Caenorhabditis elegans: one gene and its partners. The protein of the gene in region 3 purifies or fractionates together with the protein of the main gene of each other region. This does not show direct contact. Each region holds a gene or a part of one and is shown on either strand. Other genes may lie near its edges.

Region 1 (8,426 bases), on a different chromosome or scaffold from region 3:
CAAACGTTTCAGTTATTTTCGCCGATTTTTTTCTATCGGTTTTAATTAATTTCAAGTCAATTCGAATATTTTAAAGGAAAATTTTTTGAAAACTGCGAAAATAACTGAAATTGATGGAATTTACGGCATTTTTTCGATTTTTCATCTTCTACCGGAGCACTTATTACGAAAAAACTCTTTAAATTTCTGCAAAAATCGCGCCGAGACCCATCCAAATTGATCCATGCGCCTTTAAATCTGCATTTATCGCAAGTTCGAACCTATTATTTGGTGAGATGACCAAATTCGAGTAGGGCTGCCCAACAAGTGTGACTTCAATATTTTCAAGAGTTTCCATCTGAAAATATCGATTAAAATTCAGGATTTCATCTGAAAAAGGTCGCTGAACATATATAAAAGATATGAAAAAAGGTGACTAAACCTTCAAAAAAAAATCAAAAATTCAAAAAAAATCTCGTTTTAATTGTAAAGACACGCAATACATGTTACAGGATGCAAGTTAAAGGCACATTATGCGATTTTTCCAGAAAAAGAGGGCGATTGGGATTAAATCACAGTGGAAATGGGGAAGAAATGGATGAAAACCAATAAATTTGGAGGGTAAAAATACATTATGGACATGAAAATGCGTAGTTTGGGCTAAAAATGTGTTTTTGATTGGATCAGAATGGCTTAAAAATGAGGATTTTCAGAGGGAAATTATATTTTCAGAACAATTTTGTGCAGACAAATCGATTTTCCAAGACCATTATGCGATTTTATGGAGCTCGTGGACAGTGTAGATGGTGTTGATTCTCGAATGAACAATTTTTCCGTGGCTGACGACGTCATCGATGAGCACACGGATCAGCGATTCGTCGGTGACAGATCCTGCTAAGATAGTTATGAGAAAAGATGGAAAATCGATTTTTTTTGAATAAATGCATAAAAGTGTGTGCGCCTTTAAAGATTACTGTAGTTCACAATAATTTTGAGGAATTTTCTTCCATTTTTTGAGTATTTTTTCTACGATTTTCACAAGAGAAACTTGAAGAAATCCATGTTAATTAAATTTGCGGAATTAATTCCGCAAAAACGAGCACACATTCAAGAAAATATCATATTTTTAGCTGAAATTCTGCATTTTTGGGTGATAATGTCGATTTACGTAGCCTGTGTACTCCCCGAGGAGAATATTTTTCCCAGTTTTTAACTGAAATATTTGATTTTGAACCATTTTCTCTCATTTTTAGTGTTTCAGATAGAATTGAAAGGGATTAATGTATTAATATATTGAAAATCAGGAATTTGTAGCTTTTTTTTCCATCTAAAACATAACTAAATTGAGAAGAAATCATCGAAAAATGATCTAAAATGAAGCTTTTCAAGCAGAAATTGTGAAAATTTCTGACAATTGATGTGTACTCTGTGGGAAAAATATTATCAGTTTGCGAAAATCGTCTAAAATCTGAAATTTCTTCTTCTCGCGGAGTACACGCGCCGCGTAAATCAACACATGGCCTAGCAATCCAGTTTTCTTCAGACTTTCCCATACCTTTAAGGTAGTCAAGCATTTTTTCACGTGTTGGGAGAGTGTATACGGCCACTTTGACAGCGGTACGAATGATCCATGGATGATGTCTGGAAATTAAAAATTCATAACATGAAATTCAGATTTTCAGAGCATACTTTGCCAGGGTTCCATCATAGCATTCCTTGCAAATCTTGGGAATGCTGTCATCGTTAGTGGCAGCCACTGCCGCATACATGAACTCGACGATGAACTCGAGAGCCCTGGAAATTCAAGGAAATTTTAAGATTTCTAGTCAAAAAGTACCGATTTAAATGTAAAATTGCCACTGCTCCACTCTCTTTTCCATTCTTCTCCATTGGTTTTTCACTGTGAACAAGAGCAACTACAGTTTTGTATCCTTCTGGATTCGCCGTATGAAGCTCCTTCAGAAGATCAATCTTCTCACGAACATCTTTCTCCACAAATTCAAAGATTTTTCCGAGCATTCCGATGAATTTGCACAGCTCTTCGTAGACTTCGACGAATGTCAGAAGCTCAACGTCATCCGGAGTCACTTCCGGGCAGTTTTCCACGTCACTTTTCTCCACGATAATGACGTCAGTGGAGAGTTTCTTCATTTGAGTGGCTACGAGCTTAATGCAGAAGGGTGAAGCGGTGTCTTCGGTCATTTTTAGCTGAAATTTTGGAATTTTATCGATTTTTACGAAAAAAAAATCACAAAAATAGAGAGAAAATAGCGAAAGGAGGCGATAAACTTTCATCAAATGTATTATAAAAGCCGTTGTTTTGATTTTAAACTGCTGATTCATAGTGAGCGCGTGATTCAAAAGCATCAGAAATCGCAGGAAAAACAAAACTGGAGACGACAAAATTATATTGAATTTATCTTTAGAAACAATGAGTAAAATTCATTTTTTTTAACGAAATTCCAGAACCAAATCTTCTTGAGTATTGACCAATATATTGGGAAATTATGTAAAAAATCAGCAATTTTTGATTTTCATGGATTTTCGCCGTATTCGGCGAATGTGAAAACGGAAAACATGCTTAAATAAATTATAAATTAGTATTTAAACAATTTGAAACATAAAAATCCGTTTAAAAACTTCTAAAACCGAAAAAAAAAAGCTGAAAAACGTGGAAAAAATTGATAAAAATTTATTTTTTCGATGGTAATGCAAGAGCGCCCCAATGCACACTCTCTTTTCGAATCATTCGAATGGCAATTTTCATTTATTTTTGTGTAAAAATATCGGTTTTCCTTGTTTTTTAATGCTTTTGCGCTGATTTTTGATGTAAAAGCTATTAGAAATTGTCTAAATTTTGTCGGAATGCATCGGGAACCATCACAATTTGGTTTTTTGGGTGTATTTCTCTTGTCTGAAAGTTTCCCGCTGGAGGTTAAACAATTGTTCCAAGAAATCGATAGAAACGTTTCAAGACATATTTAACGAAAAATATTTATTCTAAAAGATCAAGTACAGCACGAACATCAATTTTCCTCCGTTGAAAGCTGAAAATATACAGAATTTGTCAGATTCATTTATTTTTTCTCGGCAATCCCTCACCGATCCGCGCTTCTTTTTCCCTTTCTTCCGTCTCGCATCCGTCTTAATCTTCGCAATTTCTTGCTCCAAATGCCATTGAACAGGAGTCTCGCATGCCACGTCACCATTTGTCACGTCACCAACCGCCCGATACTGTAACCAAAGCGGTATCGAAGCGGAGACGACAAAGATGACGGCGAGCCCAATGTAGGACCAATAGAGCTCCGAAGTGTCCGTCTGATAGTGCTTGAAATAGTGTGAAACTTGATATTTGTCCATTTTTTGTTGTAGTTTTTCTCTGTATTTGAAATGAGAAATGTTAATTTTTTTCTTATTTTTCTCGAAAACGAACGTGAAATTTAAATTTAAAAATTAAAATTAGTTTTTTTTTCAGAAACTCAAACAAATCAAAAATGGATGCGCTACAAGCGTATGGCGGTAGCGACAGTGAACACTCAGATGATGACGCCAGCATGGATCAGGTCGCAAAAGGAAAATCATCGACATTGCTGGAAAGAGCCATAGTCACTGCTCCGGACGTTGAGTCGAAAAGTGCAATTCGACAAGTAGCGATTGTAGATCCAAAGACTAAAGAGATTAAATCAAATCCAAAATTTGATCAGCTCTTCAAGCCAGAATCTGGGCCAGTAAATCACTTTAAATCAGAGCAACAAAGATCACAAAAGAACACATTGACAGGATTCGTCGAGCCTGCACATCTCAATGAATTTCATTTTAATCGACAAATTCGAAGCTTTGATACTCTTGGGTACGCTCAGAATCCGACTGCCGAATCCGGTACAACTCATTTCGTGGGAGACGTCAAAAAAGCAGAAGCCGAGAAAGGAGTTTCACTTTTTGAATCGAAAAAGACTGGCGGGGAGAAGAGAAAACGAGTTAGAAATGATGATTCAGCAGATATTGATGGATATACTGGACCATGGAGTCGATTTATTGATGAAAAGACAGTCGCTAAACCAACACCAGAACTTCAGAAACAAATGGATGAAATTGTGAAGAAGAGGCAAGAAAAAAGCAGGCGATTCAAGAAAGAAAAGGAGGATAGTGAGCAAATGGCTGAAGAGAGCTCCACGCTTCATTGTACGAGTTTATTCTTGATTGTTTGGCTTGAAATGGCTCAAAAAGGCCTTTAAAGTTCCGGAAATGTGCTAAATTTAGCTGAAATTTTCCAATTTTCAGTTGATTTTTTGATCAGATTTGTGCTCTTTCTGACTGAAAATGTAATTAGATAAACAGAAAACGCTAGATAAACGTGAAAATGGAAGATTAATTGGATAAATTACGATTTTAGCTAAAATTGGCCAAATTTTAGAGCCATTTTATTAGATTTAAGCAAAATTTTAAGCTCATTTTAGCCATTTTCGAATATTTAACCCAATTTTTAAACGTTGCAGAGAAATTTCGTTTCTTTTTTTGAAATTTTTAACCGATTTTCAGCGAATTAACTGTTTTTCCGAGATTTTAAACTTTTATTTTTTATTTTTAGCGAAATTTTTTTGGCATTTCAAGGGAAATCTAAAACAATTTGTATTGATAAGAGAAAAAGATAGTTTTCCAAGATTTTTGCTAAATTTAATCTGATCATTTTAAACATTTTTAGTGAAATTTGGCCCAAGTTTGTTAACGATTTAAGATAAAATTTGCTATTTGTTGTTTAATTTCAACAATTTCAGCTCAGTTTAGCCATTTTTGGAATTTGATTCAATTTTTTAAAGAATTTTACCGAAATTTGGCACCTTATTTTTTAAATTATCTTGAAATTTTGAAACAATATTTCGCTTAACATGGATAAATTGCTTCGAAAATCGAAAATTTTGCATTCTGAATAAGAAATACCAATTTTAGAGTGTTTTCAGAAGATTTTTTTCGGTTTTCGAATGGTTCGATTTTTCGGTTATGCTCAAAAGTTTTTCTGGAAGTACATCAACTCTTCTAATAATTAATTTTTCAGTGAAAGAAGCCGAGGATTACCAAGGTCGCTCATTTCTTGTTCCACCATCATTCACCGGTGTCAATCTCCGAGAGGACTACGTTCCCGAGCGATGTTTCGTACCGAAAAAGCTTGTTCACACGTATCGAGGACATAACAAAGGTGTCAATTTCCTTCAATGGTTCCCGAAAAGTGCTCATTTATTCTTGTCATGCTCAATGGACACAAAAATCAAATTATGGGAAGTATATGATCGTCAGCGAGTTGTCAGAACATACGCAGGCCATAAGCTTCCTGTTCGTGAAGTTGCATTTAATAATGAGGGTACAGAATTCTTGTCAGCATCTTTTGATCGATACGTGAAGCTTTGGGATACTGAAACTGGACAAGTTAAGCAGAGATTTCATACTGGACACGTACCGTATTGCTTGAAATATCATCCAGATGATGATAAGAATCATATGTTTTTGGTTGGAATGCAGAATAAGAAGATTATTCAATGGGATTCAAGATCTGGAGAAATTGTTCAAGAATACGATCGTCACTTGCAGGCAGTCAATTCTATCACATTTTTCGACAAGAATCGTCGTTTCGCATCCACTTCTGATGATAAAAGTGTCAGAATTTGGGAATGGGAGATCCCAGTAGACACGAAACTTATTCAAAATGTTGGACTTCATGCGATTCCGACTATGACAAAGAGTCCTAATGGTAATTATTGAGGAACATTAAATTCAGGGAACGCGTATTGTGCAATGTATATGACGCGCAAAATATCTCGTAGCGAAAACTACAGTAATCCTTAAAATGATTACTGTAGCGCTGTTGTGTCGATTTACGGGCTCAATTTTCGGAACGAATTTCATTTCGAATAGTGAGCGATTTTTCATTTTTTCTCCAATTTTTCGCAAAATTGAAGGAAGCTGAAATACCGTTGCCACTATTTAAAAAAAAATATTTCAAAAATCGAGCCCGTAAATCAACACAAGCGCTACAGTAGTCATTTTAAGGGTTACTGTAGTTTTCGCTACGAGATATTTTGCGCGTCGAATATGTTGCTCAATACACATTCACAATGCTTTGTGCTCCTGTAATAAAAATACTTAAAGCTCAAATTTCTCTCATTTCTTTTCCAGATAAATGGGTTGTGGGACAATGCATGGACAATCGGATAGTCCTTTTCCAGCTTGTCGATGATAAGCTTCGATTCTCAAAAAAGAAGGCTTTCAGAGGACACAATGCGGCTGGATATGCGTGCAATATCGATTTTTCGCCGGATCAAAGTTTCCTAATCTCTGGTGATGCTGATGGAAAATTGTTTATTTGGGATTGGAGAACACACAAAATTGTTGGAAAGTAAGGTTTTCTATGTGGAAATTATTGATTTTTTGTTTAAAAAAAAGATGGAAACTGGTAAAAAATTTAAAAATCACGATTTTTCCGATTATTTTGCGCTTTAATATAAAAAAATGCTGAGAAAGCCCTGAATTTAATATAAAATTTTCTCTCATTTAATTAAATTTTTTCTAATTTAAAACATTCTAATTGAATAAAAAAGTGAAAAGTACCCAACTTTAACGATTTTTACCTTAAAAATTGAGTTTTAAACCCGAAAAATCCAAAAAATAAACTTTTTTTTCGATTTTAATGCGTCAAAATTTCTGAAAAAATCGTAATTTTTCAATTTTTCAATCGTTATTTTCAGTAAATACGCCACATTTTCCATTATTAAAATAAAAAACCCCAAAACCTCCAAAAAATGTATGATTTTCAGATGGAAAGCTCATGATAGCACTTGTATCGCAGCACTATGGCATCCACATGAAAAAAGCCGAATGATTACTGCTGGATGGGATGGTCTCATTAAAATGTGGAATTAATTGTTGATTTTTCCCTTTTTTCCCAAAAAAAAATTATTATTTTCCCAAATTTTGGCTCTTTTTCTCACGAGTTTTTGTCCCATCTCTCACATTTCCCTGTTCATTAAAAAAATTTTTTTTTTCGTAATAATGTTTTACTTTCTCCTGTTTCAATTATTTATTTTGTATCTTTGTTCATTTATTTGTTTTTTCTTCCAATTTTAAACCCTATTCTTACAGAACATTTCCGACACACGGAAATTGATAAAATTATTTTTATTTTTTAGCCTGAAATTTCAGTTTACCCAATTAATGGTTATCGACCAGATTTTATTTTAATTTTTTAAAGGAAAATTAGTTTTTTTTTCTATGAAAAAAAGTTATATATTTTTTTGGAAATTTATAACTCTTAAAAAAATTCAATTTTTTCAAATAAATAAAATTTCAGATGGCTTCTCAACCGGAGCTCATAATGGTTGACGAGCAAGTCGTCGCTTATGAAGTAGAAATTGATAGTTTTGATGTAAAATATGATGAAGAGGAACATGATGGTCAAGGGACACAAGATGAACCATTTTCTCATGGTACGGAACAGTTTTACGCTGAAAAATTCCAGAATTCCAAAAAATGAAACCTAAAATAGTGATAAAAAGGCGTTTTGAATATTAAATTGAAGAAAAAAATCAGCAAAAATTGTTCAAAATCAAGAATTTTAACGGAAAAGTGTAAAATCTTCTCCACGGGGAGTACACATGCTTCGTAAATCGACATATGGTCAATTTTAAAGTTTTGAAAATTGAAATGCCGGCAAAAAATCTTTTCTTGTTTTTTTTTCGCAAAAAATTCAATTTTCGAAAAAATAATTATAGAAAATTGCATTTTTTGACCGAAAAGTCAATAAAAATAACAGAAAAAATCGATAAACCGTTGAAAAATTTTTTTTTAATTCAAAAATTCAGAAATTCTTAAAATTCAAATTTCCAGATGAGCCAAGCACCAGCGGTTATCACCATCACTACCAATTTCCCAATGACGTGGATCCAAATGATGTTTATTTATTCGATGAGGTATCAATTATCCGAAATTTGGCGATTTTTGAGCCAAAACTACGGTACCCGGTCTCGACACGACAATTTTTGTTAAATTAAAAAAGGTGTGCGCCTTTGAAGGTTACTGTAGTTTCGAACTTTTGCTGATTTTTCATATTTTTTCGTTGAAAACAAAAGTATTTATTTGTTGAAAATCAGAAAATATTATCTTCGCGTCGAGACCTATTACCATTCTATTTTTGCCGCAAAAAACAAAATTTCCTTTAAAAAAAAGCTAATTTTTCCAAGTTTTTCCAGGAAACTGATCAAATTCATCAGCTCGACCCGAATCAACTCAAAAATAATGAAGAAATTGACGATGTCGAATATATTGATCAATCTGTGCCTTCCACGTCATCAATGATGACGTCACTGCCGTCAACGGTGGCTCCAGTTCAGCCAAATACGTATTACAGACGGAAATCTGGAGGCCCAACTGCAACTGGAAATGAAAAACCGAATTATAGG
Region 2 (7,397 bases), on a different chromosome or scaffold from region 3:
CGAGCCAGCAGATCGAGAGGCCTATACCACTGCAAAAACCACTGACGATAAAAAGAAAAATCGCAGTTAATTCGTTATCAAAGTTTATTTTTGCCTTTTCCAACTGGTTCATTCTGATACTTTCTCTGTTCTCCCCTTTCAGGAGGATCTCTTTTCTTTCAATTCTCGTTTCCTCCTCTGGTTTTAGATTAGGTAAAAATTTAAGTTTTCCCCTGAATAATCTCTTTGATCCCCCTTTGAAAGCTCATTAATAAATTTAAAGCATTAAAATGGTTTGTAGATGTTATAAGCAGTTGATTTCTGTATTCAAATATCTGTAAATATTTATTTCGACCTTTAAAGTTAATGTTTTAGATGAAAGGTGGCGGTGGAATAGGGGATGGCAAAAAGGACTATCAATCAGCTGTTCATGAAGTAAGTTTTTATTAAAAACTCTGTTATTCCTTTTAATAGTTTTGAGTGATTCAGATGAAATATAGATTTTAAATCTAAATTTTTCAGGGATTAACAACATTCGATCAATTGGGAATTGCACTTGAAGATGTCGGTAAATCAATGGACGCAGAAACAGCTACACCAGGAGGAAGTTTATTTTCCAGAGTTATGTAAGTGATTCGGTTATTCTCGAAAAAAAACTCATTGTTGAAAATGTAGCACTATTTTCTAACATTTCAACAAATAAAATTCTGGCTCACTACCGAGTTCGTATTTTCAACATTGAACAGACACATGGAATTGTTTTCAAAAATCATTCGGTCTCACACATTATGGAGGGAGAAACAGTTTAACCTCAACGCAAATCCGATTTGGTCGAATCGTTTCATCGCCTCTCCCTCTGCTCTCATAAAACAAATAGATTGAGAGTGGTGTTACACGAGTTTTCCATACCAAATGAGATCCTTTTTGACAGGTCGGAGAGAGAATTTATTTGTTTTGATAGAGACTCAAAACTAAAAGTTATGATTTTGCCCAGAATGTTATAATATTTCACGACAAGTATAACTTACAAATGAAGAAACGAAAAATGTTCTTCCTGTTTTTTTAATTTCTGAAAATCATTAGAAATTGGTTAGTTATTCTTTTTCGCATCGATTCCAGTTTGAGCTCATGTATTATCATTGTCAAAAGTTTGACGCAATTAAGCGACTATTCATGTTACATTTTTCTGCAATTGAGCTACATTTCGCCAATAATATAAGTTTTTTTTTAAATCTTGTTCATGATATATCAAAGTTAACACAGGTTTTTTTTTCTAATTTCTGACTAGAACGATCTTTGTAGGTACAAATTTCTTCGAAATTCTATAGCCAAAAAGTGATAAGATGATGTCTCAATGATTCTCGACACTTCTAACAAATAAATAACCTGATTCTACATTTTCGAGGTCATTCATACTTTGGTTTCTCATTTTTCTTTCCAGTTGAGTTGAAAGTCGTAGTTTTGATTCCGAACTTAAAATTTTCCTCATTTCTTTTACATTATGTAATTTTTTTTTGCAAAATTATATTCCAAACAGTATATTAATCCGATCCAGTTTTCGTTTCAGGAACGAAAATTCTTCACTAAAATCGAGGACGTACGACCATTCAAACGATCTTGTGAACATGTCGGTGATTCCTGCCGAATCGAGTTATGTACTCTTTTTCCAAGTAAGTTTTTCAGGTATTTTACAAAAGAAATTATGAACTTGCTGTTTTCAGGTTCTCTTTCCGTTTGCCGTCGCTGGTCTTGGAATGGTATTTGCTGGATTGGTTCTCTCAATAGTAGTCACATGGCCTTTGTTCGAAGAAATCCCTGAAATTCTGATTCTAGTTCCAGCACTGCTTGGGCTTAAAGGAAATCTGGAAATGACACTAGCCAGTCGACTCTCAACACTTGTGAGTTTACACTTGAGAATATTCAATTTTATAATTTTCTATCAATTTTTCAGGCTAACCTTGGTCATATGGATTCTTCAAAACAACGAAAAGATGTAGTCATCGCCAACTTGGCACTTGTGCAAGTTCAGGCTACTGTCGTCGCTTTCCTCGCTTCTGCTTTTGCCGCTGCTCTCGCTTTCATTCCTTCTGGGGATTTCGATTGGGCTCATGGTGCATTGATGTGTGCAAGCAGCCTAGCTACAGCATGTAGTGCATCCCTCGTACTATCACTGTTAATGGTGGTTGTCATTGTGACATCTCGAAAATACAACATCAATCCCGATAATGTGGCCACACCAATTGCTGCATCACTTGGAGATCTGACGACACTCACTGTACTGGCTTTCTTCGGATCCGTGTTCCTCAAAGCTCATAATACTGAATCTTGGCTCAATGTTATCGTGATTGTATTATTCCTTCTTCTCCTTCCTTTCTGGATAAAAATTGCCAACGAGAATGAAGGAACACAGGAGACTCTCTACAATGGATGGACACCAGTCATCATGTCAATGCTTATCAGTAGTGCTGGAGGATTTATATTAGAAACCGCAGTCCGAAGATATCATAGCTTGAGTACATACGGTCCAGTATTGAATGGTGTTGGAGGGAATTTGGCTGCTGTTCAAGCCAGCAGACTCTCTACTTATTTCCATAAAGCCGGCACAGTTGGAGTTCTTCCGAATGAATGGACTGTCAGTCGATTTACCAGTGTTCAGCGTGCATTCTTCTCAAAAGAATGGGATTCTCGATCGGCTCGAGTTCTTTTGTTACTCGTTGTTCCTGGTCATATTTGCTTCAATTTCCTTATCCAGTTATTCACTTTGACTTCAAAGAATAATGTGACACCCCATGGACCACTTTTCACCAGTCTTTATATGATTGCGGCAATCATTCAGGTAAGGTTTTATCGAAAATTTAAAATATATAATCAAAATTTCAAAAATTGCAGGTTGTCATACTTCTATTCGTTTGTCAACTTCTCGTCGCTCTTCTTTGGAAATGGAAAATTGACCCAGATAATTCTGTGATTCCATATCTTACAGCTCTTGGAGATCTCCTAGGAACCGGACTCCTATTCATAGTATTCCTCACTACTGACCATTTTGATCCAAAGGAACTCACTTCGTCATAATTTTAAAACGTTCAAACTTTTACCACATTGTATAACTGCATCCCCGTTATTATAGATTGGTTCTCATCCCCCATCTGCATGTAAAACAGTATTTCGCTAACCTAATTTTTCATTTTCACAACTAACGCACTTTCATCAGAACTCTAGTCAAACCCGATGAGTTGATTGATATCCATTTGCCGTCAAGCGCATAATTTTCTGTACATTGTGATCCATTTTTCTCTCTAGCTATTTTTGGTCATATCTAATAGACATTTTGCATTTTCCGCTAGTCACTATGTATTTTTTGGGAATAAATAAGTTAATTTGAACTTTTAAATTTAATTAATTTTTATCTCTGGACATCTTATTCCGCGAGTGGTCCAATAATTTTGACAAGATGGGCCAAGAAAAAAAACAATTTTCCAGATGGAAATAGGACAACGAGTTCGAATAAATTTCGAAGTAGCAACAGTTCGATATATTGGAGAAGTCGATGGATACGGTAGTCAACGATGGGTTGGATTGGAGTGGGATGATCCGACACGTGGAAAACATGATGGAATTGTGAGAGGAAAACGATACTTTCAGACGAGGTTAACAGACATTTTCATCAGAAATATATTCTATAGACATTTCTCATTCGAAACTGTCGGAAATGAATTCCAAATTGGGACAAAAAATGGAAGTGATCTCCGCTGTACACATTTTCATAGTTTTATGGCGGTCTCCATGAACTTTTAAATATACAGTGTCGGGGGATTATTTACCGTATTTAACACTCCAATTACTTTCCCTTAAAAATTCGTCACTAAATAATACAAACTAGTCACAAAAGTGTGAACTTTCAAATTTTCAGACATCCAAATGGAGGATCATTGATGAAGCATGAAATAGTACCGAAACCAACTGATCTATTGTTTGAAATCAAAGACAGATACATCGAGGAAGAGAGCGTCGAAACTGAAATTGAATTGGCGCAATCCAATAAGAAGATCGAGTTGATCGGAATGGATCAAACGGCTGCAAAACAAAGCAATATCGAGAAACTTATAAATATTGTTCTTGATAATCGATCAGTCGGCTTCCCACCTTCCTCGGATTCTCCCCAATTTATACTTTGTCGTGAACTTAATCTTTATGGAAATCTACTGTACAAATGGAAAACAGTTCGTCAGATTCTTGAATATTTTCCTAGAATTCAAGAACTCAACTTACGAAGGAATCGCATGCAATGCTTCAATGAAGAAGAAGATGATGATGAATCAGAAGGAGATGATCATGTTTATTCGGATAGTTGTAAGAAATTGGTCATTAGTGAATGCAATTTATCTGAGAATTCGGTAGGTTAAAGATTAAAGGTTAAAGGAATACCAATGAAATATTAAAAAAAAAGTGTCTAGAATTGCTATTTTTATTTTTCAGATCGACTCGATTCTTCTCCGGTTCCCCTCTACATCAGATGTCGTGGCGTTTGGTAATGATCTCACAAGATTCTCAGTTTCTGAAGCTGTTTCATCTCGTCTTACATCCCTCGATCTCGAAGATAATCCATTCAAAACACTAGATTCCATTCACGGAACTTTTCCGAATTTGACACAACTTTCTGTGGCGAATTGTGGAATTACGAGCTTAAACGGATTCGATGGTTCGATAAAATTCCCGAAACTCGAATATCTGAACATAAAAAGAAATTCAATTGTTGAATGGAAAAGTGTAAATTCCATTAGATCTCTTAAAAGTTTGAAACGGTTATTGTTCGATTGCAAAAAATTATCAACTGAAAAGGGTGTCCATGCCTATGAGATTGTAATTGCCAAGTTGAGCACTTTAATAGGTTGGTTTCAAAAATATTAAAAATTATTTAAAGTAGATGTTTTTTTCTAGATCTCAATAGGTTTGATGTGTCAGAAGTAGAACGAAGGTCTGCAGAAATTCGATTTCTGAACAAATATGCCGGTCTAAATGATAACGAAGATCATCAAGACGATATCAAAAGACTGATTGAAATTCATGGAGAACCGACACTTGATACAGCAAAAAAGGGCCTTGCGGTGGTGAAAATTAGAATTGAATGTGGAAATCGAGTGGAGACACGAAGGCTTCCATTGGGAATGAGCATACAGAAAATTAGAGATATGGTAGGCAAATGAACAATCATTATTATTTGAATCAAGAAGACATGCATGTACTTTTGAAAATGCAAAGAATTTAATTTAAAAATGTATTATCTTGATTCGATTATTTTGGGGACGCAGAAACGCGCTCCACTTCCAATTGAAAACGTAACGAGCAATGGGTCTCGCTAGGTATTTGACAGAAAACTGTAAAATCAAACGTTTCTAGTTTGTTTTGCCGATTTCGCTAATTTTAAAGATTTTTTGTTATGTTTTCCGTTGTTTCCAAAGATTTTTATGCCGAAAGTAATGAAATAAAAATTTGAGACAAAATAGAAAAAATCATTAGCATTTCATTTTTAAACATCTCTTCGACATAAAAATCATTAAAGAATGAAAAACGAACCAAAAAAAGACGAAAAATGTTTAAAAATAGGCGAAATCAGTAAAACTAATTGAAACATTTTAATTTACGGTTTTGTCGCCTAATACCTAACGAGACCCATAGTTTGTGGGCGGAGCATTTAAAATTAACCGTTGAGCGTGTTTTCAGATCAATGTCTAAAGTGTTTTTTTCTGCGTCCCCATATAGAGGCTAGTTTCATCAAAAAATAGAGGCTAAATACTTCCATCAAAAATTTTATTTTTTCCAGCTCGCTCGTCTCTTCAAAGTCCCCAATACATCGAAAATCCGTCTATACCTCGTTATGAGTGAAAAAGCCAAACAACACCGAATTGAACTAGAAAATCCGTTAAGAGAATTTGGACACTATTCACCTTCAGAAGATCGAGATATTCTTGTTGTGGAACATGATTGAATTGTTACCGGAAGATTATTTATTGCACAACTTATTGTTTGTTACAAAATATATGAGCTTTAACTTGCATAAAATTCCTTAATTTCTTATCAGCGAAAATGTCCGTTAAAAATACTATCCGTTATGTATCGATTTCAATACTATTTACAATTATTCCGATTATGGAATAAAATCAATCAGTGAAAATTTCACTTTTGAAAATTTCGTCATATGCATGGGTCTCGCAACTATTGTTGGTTTTTTTTGTACTGTGATCTACTATTGCATACCAGAAAATCTTTTTTGAATTTTTGAAGAATGTCAGCGAAAGAAGTGGATTTCGAGAGAGAAAGTCATCTTCAGTGAGTTTTTAAATTACTGAAAATCAATAGTTATTTGTGATCTTGTTGAATAAAGTTCAATTTATCATAAAAATAATTTTGAATTTTCAGTGCTGTGATGTGTTTTCTCACTGGACAAAGCGGCGAAAAGATTGTATCTATTTATCCACATCGAAAACCAGCTACCAAAGGTAATCTGAACAATATAAAATCTCAAAAAAAAAAACATTTTCAGCTCCATCGAAAGATCCACAACCTTCCAGCTCTAATCCAGGACAATGTGTGAAGCCAGTTCTTACAAGTGTCAAAGAGTTCGTTTAAATCCGAATATTTAAATTTAAATATTCAAACGTTCAAAATTTCAGTCCAAGTTATGGTTTCGGACGTGTGGATACAGAATTCGACATGTCTCTCGGAATGCTTGCTTATGTGTTCAAAACTCAAGAAATTGCGTGTAACGATGGGTTCGATATGAAGATCAATAATCAAAGATTCGTTGCATATCCGAAGACATGGAAAGCACGTGGTGAATCCACCAACTATCAGATTTCGATTGTTTTTGCACTTAAAAACGGATGTGAACAGCACACAGCGTCCGCATATCAAACACTTTCGAATAAGATTGCAGTCAGTTTGGTCATGCTCCAAAACTATTTTGGATTTCTGGAACGAGAGGACAAGTGGGCAGATAATGCTGAAGAACCTAATAAAGATCATCCTCTGGAAGAGTTCGCAAAGACTAGTTTCATAGTTCAACCATTGGCTGAAATGTTTGAAGAAGTGCGAAATCGAGGAAATATTCATGTAAGATTCAAATTCTTTTAAATTCAGATTTGTTTCCACTAAAGGTTCTATCAGATTTTGATTACAATATTTATTGTAATTTCGCGATATTTTTGACATGTCATTTCAAAGGAACACGCATTTTTCCCATGGTGGTCTTGTCACGATATCAGGGTGCCAGACTTTACAGATTTGTTCATTTGATGTAGAAAAAAAACTTTTGAAATTTTAAATTCTAACCTGTTCAGAAAAACAGAATTTATCATGTACCATTTAAGCACCTAGTAGTATCACTTTACGCGAATGGATGATAAAATTCAATCTAGACT
Region 3 (6,190 bases):
AAACTCTTCATATCTAATCGACTTTAAATTTTGAACAATCATCTTTCTTTTGAAGTCTCTACAATGTCCTAAAAAATCTTTCGAAAATGTTGGCTCATCTCCAAAATCGTCCTCCGCTCCAAAATAAGAAATGGGACTTTTGCTTTTCGAAAAATGGGCGAAAAAATTAAATTGCGATTTTTGGGTCGAAAAATATATTTTTAGAAAGCTGAGAACACGCCATTTACGAATTTCATGTTCATTTTAGGTGATTTCTTCTCTGAAACGACCTAAAAATTAAACAAAAAGAACATATTTTTAATTCTCACGTTTAATTTTTTAATTTGCATTAAAACAATTGAAATACTGAGCAAATTACCAAATAATTACACGTGAGAATTAAAAATATGTTCTTTTTGTTTAATTTTTAGGTCGTTTCAGAGAAGAAATCACCTAAAATGAACATGAAATTCGTAAATGGCGTGTTCTCAGCTTTCTAAAAATATATTTTTCGACCCAAAAATCGCAATTTAATTTTTTCGCCCATTTTTCGAAAAGCAAAAGTCCCATTTCTTATTTTGGAGCGGAGGACGATTTTGGAGATGAGCCAACATTTTCGAAAGATTTTTTAGGACATTGTAGAGACCTCAAAAGAAAGATCATTGTTCAAAATTTCAAGTCGATACGTTAGATATGAAGAGTTTTATGAGCGAAATTGGATTTTTTCAGAAAACGGTCTGTAACTTGGCTGAACATGAAAATATCAAAAATCTTAAAACTGATAAAATGTAGAGAAATAGTTCTTACATACAACTCATGAAAAGTTTTTTCTGCAATTCAATGAACGTTGGGTTATGACGGGCACAACAAAAGAGTTCTCAAAATTTTTCATGATTTCTGGGAAAATGGCTTTGACTCTGTGTAACTCTACAAATAGCTGGTGTATTAAAATAAAAATTAAAGTAATAAATAGAAAAAATGTTTCTGATTATTTTGTTGTTTGAACAATTGCTTTCTAGAAGTGTGTTTTTTGAGATATGTCAGTTTGAAGATACTCCGTTTAGCGAGTTTATGAGGTTATTTGGTCCGCCGAGCGTGTTGAAACTACGAAAAATATCACTTCCAGACGTCATTGAAAGCCTAAAATCAAAAGAAGGAAAAGTTTAGGTATTTGCCCCTACAATGTTCACATAAAAAACCCATGGTTTTAGGAGTTTCCAGTGATAAGCCTTACCGAAAACTGATTGGAACTCTGCGGGCTGAGCAGCACAATGACAAGGAAGACACTATAAAGTGTGACGTCGGCCATACCTTTTAAAGCACATTATGAAATGGAATGAAACTGACCATTTATATGCAAAATTAGTAGATTTTATAAACTTTGAAAATGTATATCTGGTTTCAAAATAACTTGTAAAGAAATTCCCGTAGCCATTTCATTGCGAATTTTGTGTTCTTTCAGCATTTAAAAACGGCATTCCAAAAGCTTCTCATTTTGGGATTGAATGGAATAGGCCATTTTCCCCCTTTCTTTGTAAAAAAATCTCCTCCAATCAAACTCGCAATTGTTAATAATTTAAACACTTTATGATACATAAGTATTTAACAGTGAACATTTCAATACTCTTCTCCGTCTTCTTCCAATCCCTCGTTGGAATCAGCTCCGACCTCTTCGTAGTCCTTCTCGAGAGCTGCCAAGTCTTCACGAGCCTCAGTGAACTCTCCCTCTTCCATTCCTTCTCCGACGTACCTGCAAATAATCGATATTTTGTGTTTCAAACAACTCGAATCTTACCAGTGAACAAAGGCGCGCTTGGCGTACATCAAGTCAAACTTGTAGTCCAGGCGGGACCAGGCCTCGGCGATAGCCGTAGTGTTGGAGAGCATGCACACGGCGCGTGGCACCTTGGCAAGATCACCTCCTGGAACCACAGTTGGTGGTTGGTAGTTGATTCCAACCTTGAACCCAGTTGGGCACCAATCCACAAATTGAACTGATCTCTTGGTTTTGATGGCAGTAATTGCAGTGTTCACATCCTTCGGCACAACATCTCCGCGGTACAGAAGACAGACAGCCATGTACTTTCCGTTGCGTGGATCACATTTGACCATCTGATTTGCTGGTTCGAAGCAGCTATTGGTGATGTCATTGACAGACAGAGCCTCGTGATATGCCTTCTCGGCAGAGATCAATGGAGTGTAAGAGGCCAATGGGAAATGAATTCTTGGGTATGGCACCAAGTTGGTCTGGAACTCGTTGAGATCCACGTTGAGAGCTCCGTCAAATCTGAGTGAAGCGGTGATTGAAGACACAACCTGAAAAGAAAAGGAAACACATAGGATACATTAAAACAAGTATTTTGCGAAACCTGAGAGATAATTCTGTTGAGATTGGTGTAACTCGGTCGGTCAACATCCAAATTTCGCTTGCAAATGTCGTAGATCGCCTCGTTATCAACCATGAATGCACAATCGGAGTGCTCCAAAGTAGTATGAGTAGTAAGGATCGAGTTGTATGGCTCAACGACTGCAGTGGAAACTTGTGGAGCTGGATAGATTGAAAACTCTAGTTTCGACTTCTTTCCGTAGTCAACCGACAAACGTTCCATCAGCAGTGAGGTGAATCCGGATCCAGTACCTCCACCGAAGGAGTGGAAGACAAAGAATCCTTGAAGACCACTACAGTTGTCGGCGAGACGACGGATTCTGTCAAGAGTAGTGTCGATGAGCTCCTTGCCAACGGTGTAGTGACCACGAGCATAGTTATTAGCAGCGTCTTCCTTCCCAGTGATCATTTGTTCTGGATGGAACAGCTTCTTGTAGTTTCCAGTGCGGATCTCGTCGACGACTGTTGGCTCAAGATCCACAAAAATAGATCTCGGAACATAGCGTCCATTTCCAGTATCTGAGAAGAACGTGGTGAAGGATCCACCCTCATTTTGTTGCTCAGAAGGCATAGTTCCATCGGGTTGAATTCCGTGCTCGAGACAGTATAGTTCCCAGCAAGCATTTCCAATTTGAACTCCCGCCTGTCCAACGTGAATGGAGATTACCTCACGCATGGTTTTTTTTCTCTGAAAATTGAAAGAAATTTAGGTTCAGAATAGTAAAATTAACTATAAAATCGTAGAACGTAGGAACGCAAAGATATACGGGCGTTATGTATACTACGGGGAGAAGAGAAGGACAATAGTGGTCAGCGGCGAGGCCAAGAAGAACTATGAAGAAATAGGGAAATAGTGTTGCGCCAGTGGAGAGAGAAAATGAGAAATGGTCGATGTAAGTGCAAAAGCAAGGGGACGAAAAGTAATAATGATAGGTGGAGAGACACATTACGAAATGTGTGGTTGCTGCTGTGTCGATTAAATTATAAAATGACACGTTTAATTATGGATTTTCATTTCTTGTTCAGAAGCTTCAAAAAAATAGTTACAGCTACCATGCATTTGTGACACCACGCATGCAGTTTTTACGATGACTCAATCGCATTTTTTGACGATCTTGCAGTTGATTGATTTTCTGTCGCATCGTTTTCTTTTTCATGGTTAACGTTCAATGATGCCGATCAATGCACAAAAAAGGAATTTTTATCTGGTCAATGAGAATTCTCGTTTGATATAACCGGAGTGCAAGAAATGATCCTCGAGCACTGTTTGTCCAAGACTAGTGGATCTCCGGGTATTATTTTTGATATTGATTTATCTTGAAATAAATCATGTTGAAGATATTTTTCAATGCGGCATTAGGCCAAAAATAACCGTGCAAACGGCTTTGGGAACAGGGATGGGCTGCAAATTCGGCAAATCGGCAATTCGCCGGTTTTCCGATTTGCCGGATATTTTGATTTTCGGAAAATTGCCAATTTGCCGTTTATCGAACATCAATTTGCCGGAACTTTTTAGAGGAGTTTTTTTATAAAATGGAAACACTTAAAACTGTGTCTTTTTGATTTTTTTTTTCAAGATAGATGTAGGAACATTCATAGGTTGCGTTCAATTTTGCCGATTAAAATTGAACTTTTGAAATTTTCAAAAAAAATGTGCAAAACCACAATTTGCCGATTTGCCGATTTGCCGAAAATTTCAATTCCGGCAATTTGCCGACTTGCTGGTCAATCCCATAGATAATTGGGTTTTTGGTATGTGTATGTATTTGCCAGACTATAAAATGGAGAGGCTCACATGGTCATTAGTCACGTGTTGAGAATCATCCTTAGCTTGCTCATAAATGCTAGATCCATCAATAATTCGACAGCTTCACGATTACTGAATGGGGAAAGGCAAAGATCAAATGAATATTCGGGGGATAAGTTGAATGGCAGAACGTGATACAAGCTTTGTCACAGTCTAATATGCTTTTTTTTTTTTTTAAACTTGAAAAAAAAACACAACAATATACACAAAAGTAAGACAATTTTTGTTACGTGGCCGAAAGGTTATTCTTGCAACCACAATAAACTCGGTAAAACGAAGAAAAAACAACAAGGGAGATTTTGTGGATTTTTCAATCATTGTTTGATATTTCTGTAAAACAAAGTTCCAACTAATCAAGAGGTGCAAATAATGAACGATGGGAACTCACGAACTCCGTACAACAGCCTCTACAAACCGCTGAACTTGGTAAGTTTTTTAAGCTTTTCAGTTTGAGCTTTTGAAGCTTTAACAGTATCTTTTTCAGATCAAATCAAAGCCGGATGGATGTTGCAAGCACAACGGTCAGTGCCCTTATGGTAAAAATCAAGCGGAAAGTGTGGACGATGGGAACTCCAGAACTCCGTACAACAGCATCTACGAGCCGCTGAGCCTGGTAAGTTCTGAAATTTCGAGTTTAAAACTTCTGAAGCTTCAACATGCTCTTTTTCAGAATAAATCGAAGCCAGACAGTCAGTGCTCCAACGGTAAAAAACCAGCGGACGACGAGTACGTGAATCTTCTGCTGCCGCAAAGCAAAGAGGAACAGGTGGCTGAGAAGCTTGCGGACAAGCTGAGAAAGTTGGAGGTGAAGGAGTCGAAGGGCAAGCGAAGAGGAAGTAAGGAGCGAAAGAAGAAGAAGCCGGAGCCAGTAGAGAGTACATATGAGAGCTTGGCCTCTATTGAAGGATCCACGAACTTCTCTGGTCCAGTTACGACTGAATCTTTGGAGAGCAATGTGAAGTGAGTTCAAAGGAGCATGGCTTCCCGAAAAATCTTCACTCGAAATAGTGGGTCCTGGCACGAACAAAACATCCTGATTTTCGTACCCGAGCGTGTTTCGCAGTTAAAAATTGAGAATCGTTAATTGAAAAAGAGAAAACCTACCGTACTCGCGGGTACTGTAGTTGAGTTTCGCACGTGCCAGAACCTGGCTGGGCTTCAAATTTTACGCATCTAGGTAGTATCGTAATTTACTGCAGACACAAATTTATTAGGGTACTCGCAGTTATAGCATCAGCATGAAATTTAAACGCGAATAATTTCCAGTTTCAATTTCTATTTTCAGATGCCACCATGCTTCCCAGACTGCCTACATCGGTGTGTACAGCTCTGCGGACGCTGAAGCTCAGGTCAAAAATCGTGGAGAGTTCGCCTTGTACCATCAATTCGAGGTCGGCAACCGCCTTGATCATCTCACGGCGACTCTTCCATTGATGCTCGTCTACTACACCACCACCAAGAAGCATCGTCACTACCCGGTTCGGAAATCTGGAGACAATGGAACGGTTCAGTATTCGGTGGATTGTGGATACCCTATCGTTCGCAAACACTTCTCAATCAATCAACTCGTGCTCTACTATAAAACGTTCGGATCAATTCAGATGAAACAAGAAGACATTTGCTCTGAGGAATTCTCTTGGTGGTTGGAATAAAACTTATTTTGAGTTGAATAAAAGTTTTTTATGTAGAATGAATTGAATAGATTTATTCGCGTGGTTATTTGCAACGTATTCGCAAAATTTCAAAATATTTTATTTCTAAATTTAGAACTTCACTTCTCAAAAAGCAAGTTTTTCAAAATTGTAGCTATTTTGATCATGAATCAAGCAAACGCCGATTATATGTCAGGTATCCAATTTTTAAATTCCTTCCAAAATATATACATTCATTCAGTCAAGGATACTTTGGCAATGTTCACCCTTTACTCGACTCTGGCCATTTTTGTAATCTCGACAGTGATATTTGGCTTATCATTGTACAGCTTTTTGAAGAATAGAAGACTTCGACAGTTCAAGCTC

Evidence for each region.
Region 1: the proteins of tba-4 (region 3) and prp-17 fractionate together in Caenorhabditis elegans (co-fractionation; one large-scale study listed by BioGRID). This does not show direct contact.
Region 2: the proteins of tba-4 (region 3) and tbce-1 fractionate together in Caenorhabditis elegans (co-fractionation; one large-scale study listed by BioGRID). This does not show direct contact.

The regions. Positions count from the first base shown.
Region 1 is NC_003279.8:10,933,367-10,941,792, forward strand, and holds prp-17 (Pre-mRNA-processing factor 17), read left to right. Parts: upstream 1-3,448; 5' UTR 3,449-3,473; coding exon 3,474-4,161; intron 4,162-5,032; coding exon 5,033-5,722; intron 5,723-6,147; coding exon 6,148-6,367; intron 6,368-6,785; coding exon 6,786-6,891; 3' UTR 6,892-7,155; downstream 7,156-8,426. Other genes in the region: F49D11.10 (WD_REPEATS_REGION domain-containing protein), read right to left, coding at 261-337; tag-296 (Glycolipid transfer protein domain-containing protein), read right to left, coding at 749-873, 1,535-1,620, 1,669-1,773, 1,817-2,181; F49D11.14 (uncharacterized protein), read right to left, coding at 3,006-3,026, 3,082-3,339; Y95D11A.3 (BZIP domain-containing protein), read left to right, coding at 7,319-7,454, 7,855-7,937, 8,217-8,426.
Region 2 is NC_003282.8:8,291,231-8,298,627, forward strand, and holds tbce-1 (Tubulin-specific chaperone E), read left to right. Parts: upstream 1-3,459; coding exon 3,460-3,626; intron 3,627-3,889; coding exon 3,890-4,373; intron 4,374-4,455; coding exon 4,456-4,867; intron 4,868-4,917; coding exon 4,918-5,171; intron 5,172-5,800; coding exon 5,801-5,965; 3' UTR 5,966-6,053; downstream 6,054-7,397. Other genes in the region: N-alpha-acetyltransferase daf-31, read left to right, coding at 1-70; K07H8.2 (SLC41A/MgtE integral membrane domain-containing protein), read left to right, coding at 355-414, 502-605, 1,535-1,649, 1,701-1,877, 1,931-2,815, 2,869-3,051; nprl-3 (GATOR complex protein NPRL3), read left to right, coding at 6,263-6,306, 6,397-6,476, 6,521-6,596, 6,651-7,089.
Region 3 is NC_003280.10:10,915,569-10,921,758, reverse strand, and holds tba-4 (Tubulin alpha chain), read right to left. Parts: upstream 3,054-6,190; 5' UTR 3,042-3,053; coding exon 2,349-3,041; intron 2,296-2,348; coding exon 1,775-2,295; intron 1,730-1,774; coding exon 1,597-1,729; 3' UTR 1,543-1,596; downstream 1-1,542. Other genes in the region: F44F4.10 (PARP catalytic domain-containing protein), read left to right, coding at 4,542-4,598, 4,657-4,785, 4,843-5,132, 5,458-5,824; F44F4.9 (uncharacterized protein), read left to right, coding at 5,990-6,020, 6,066-6,190.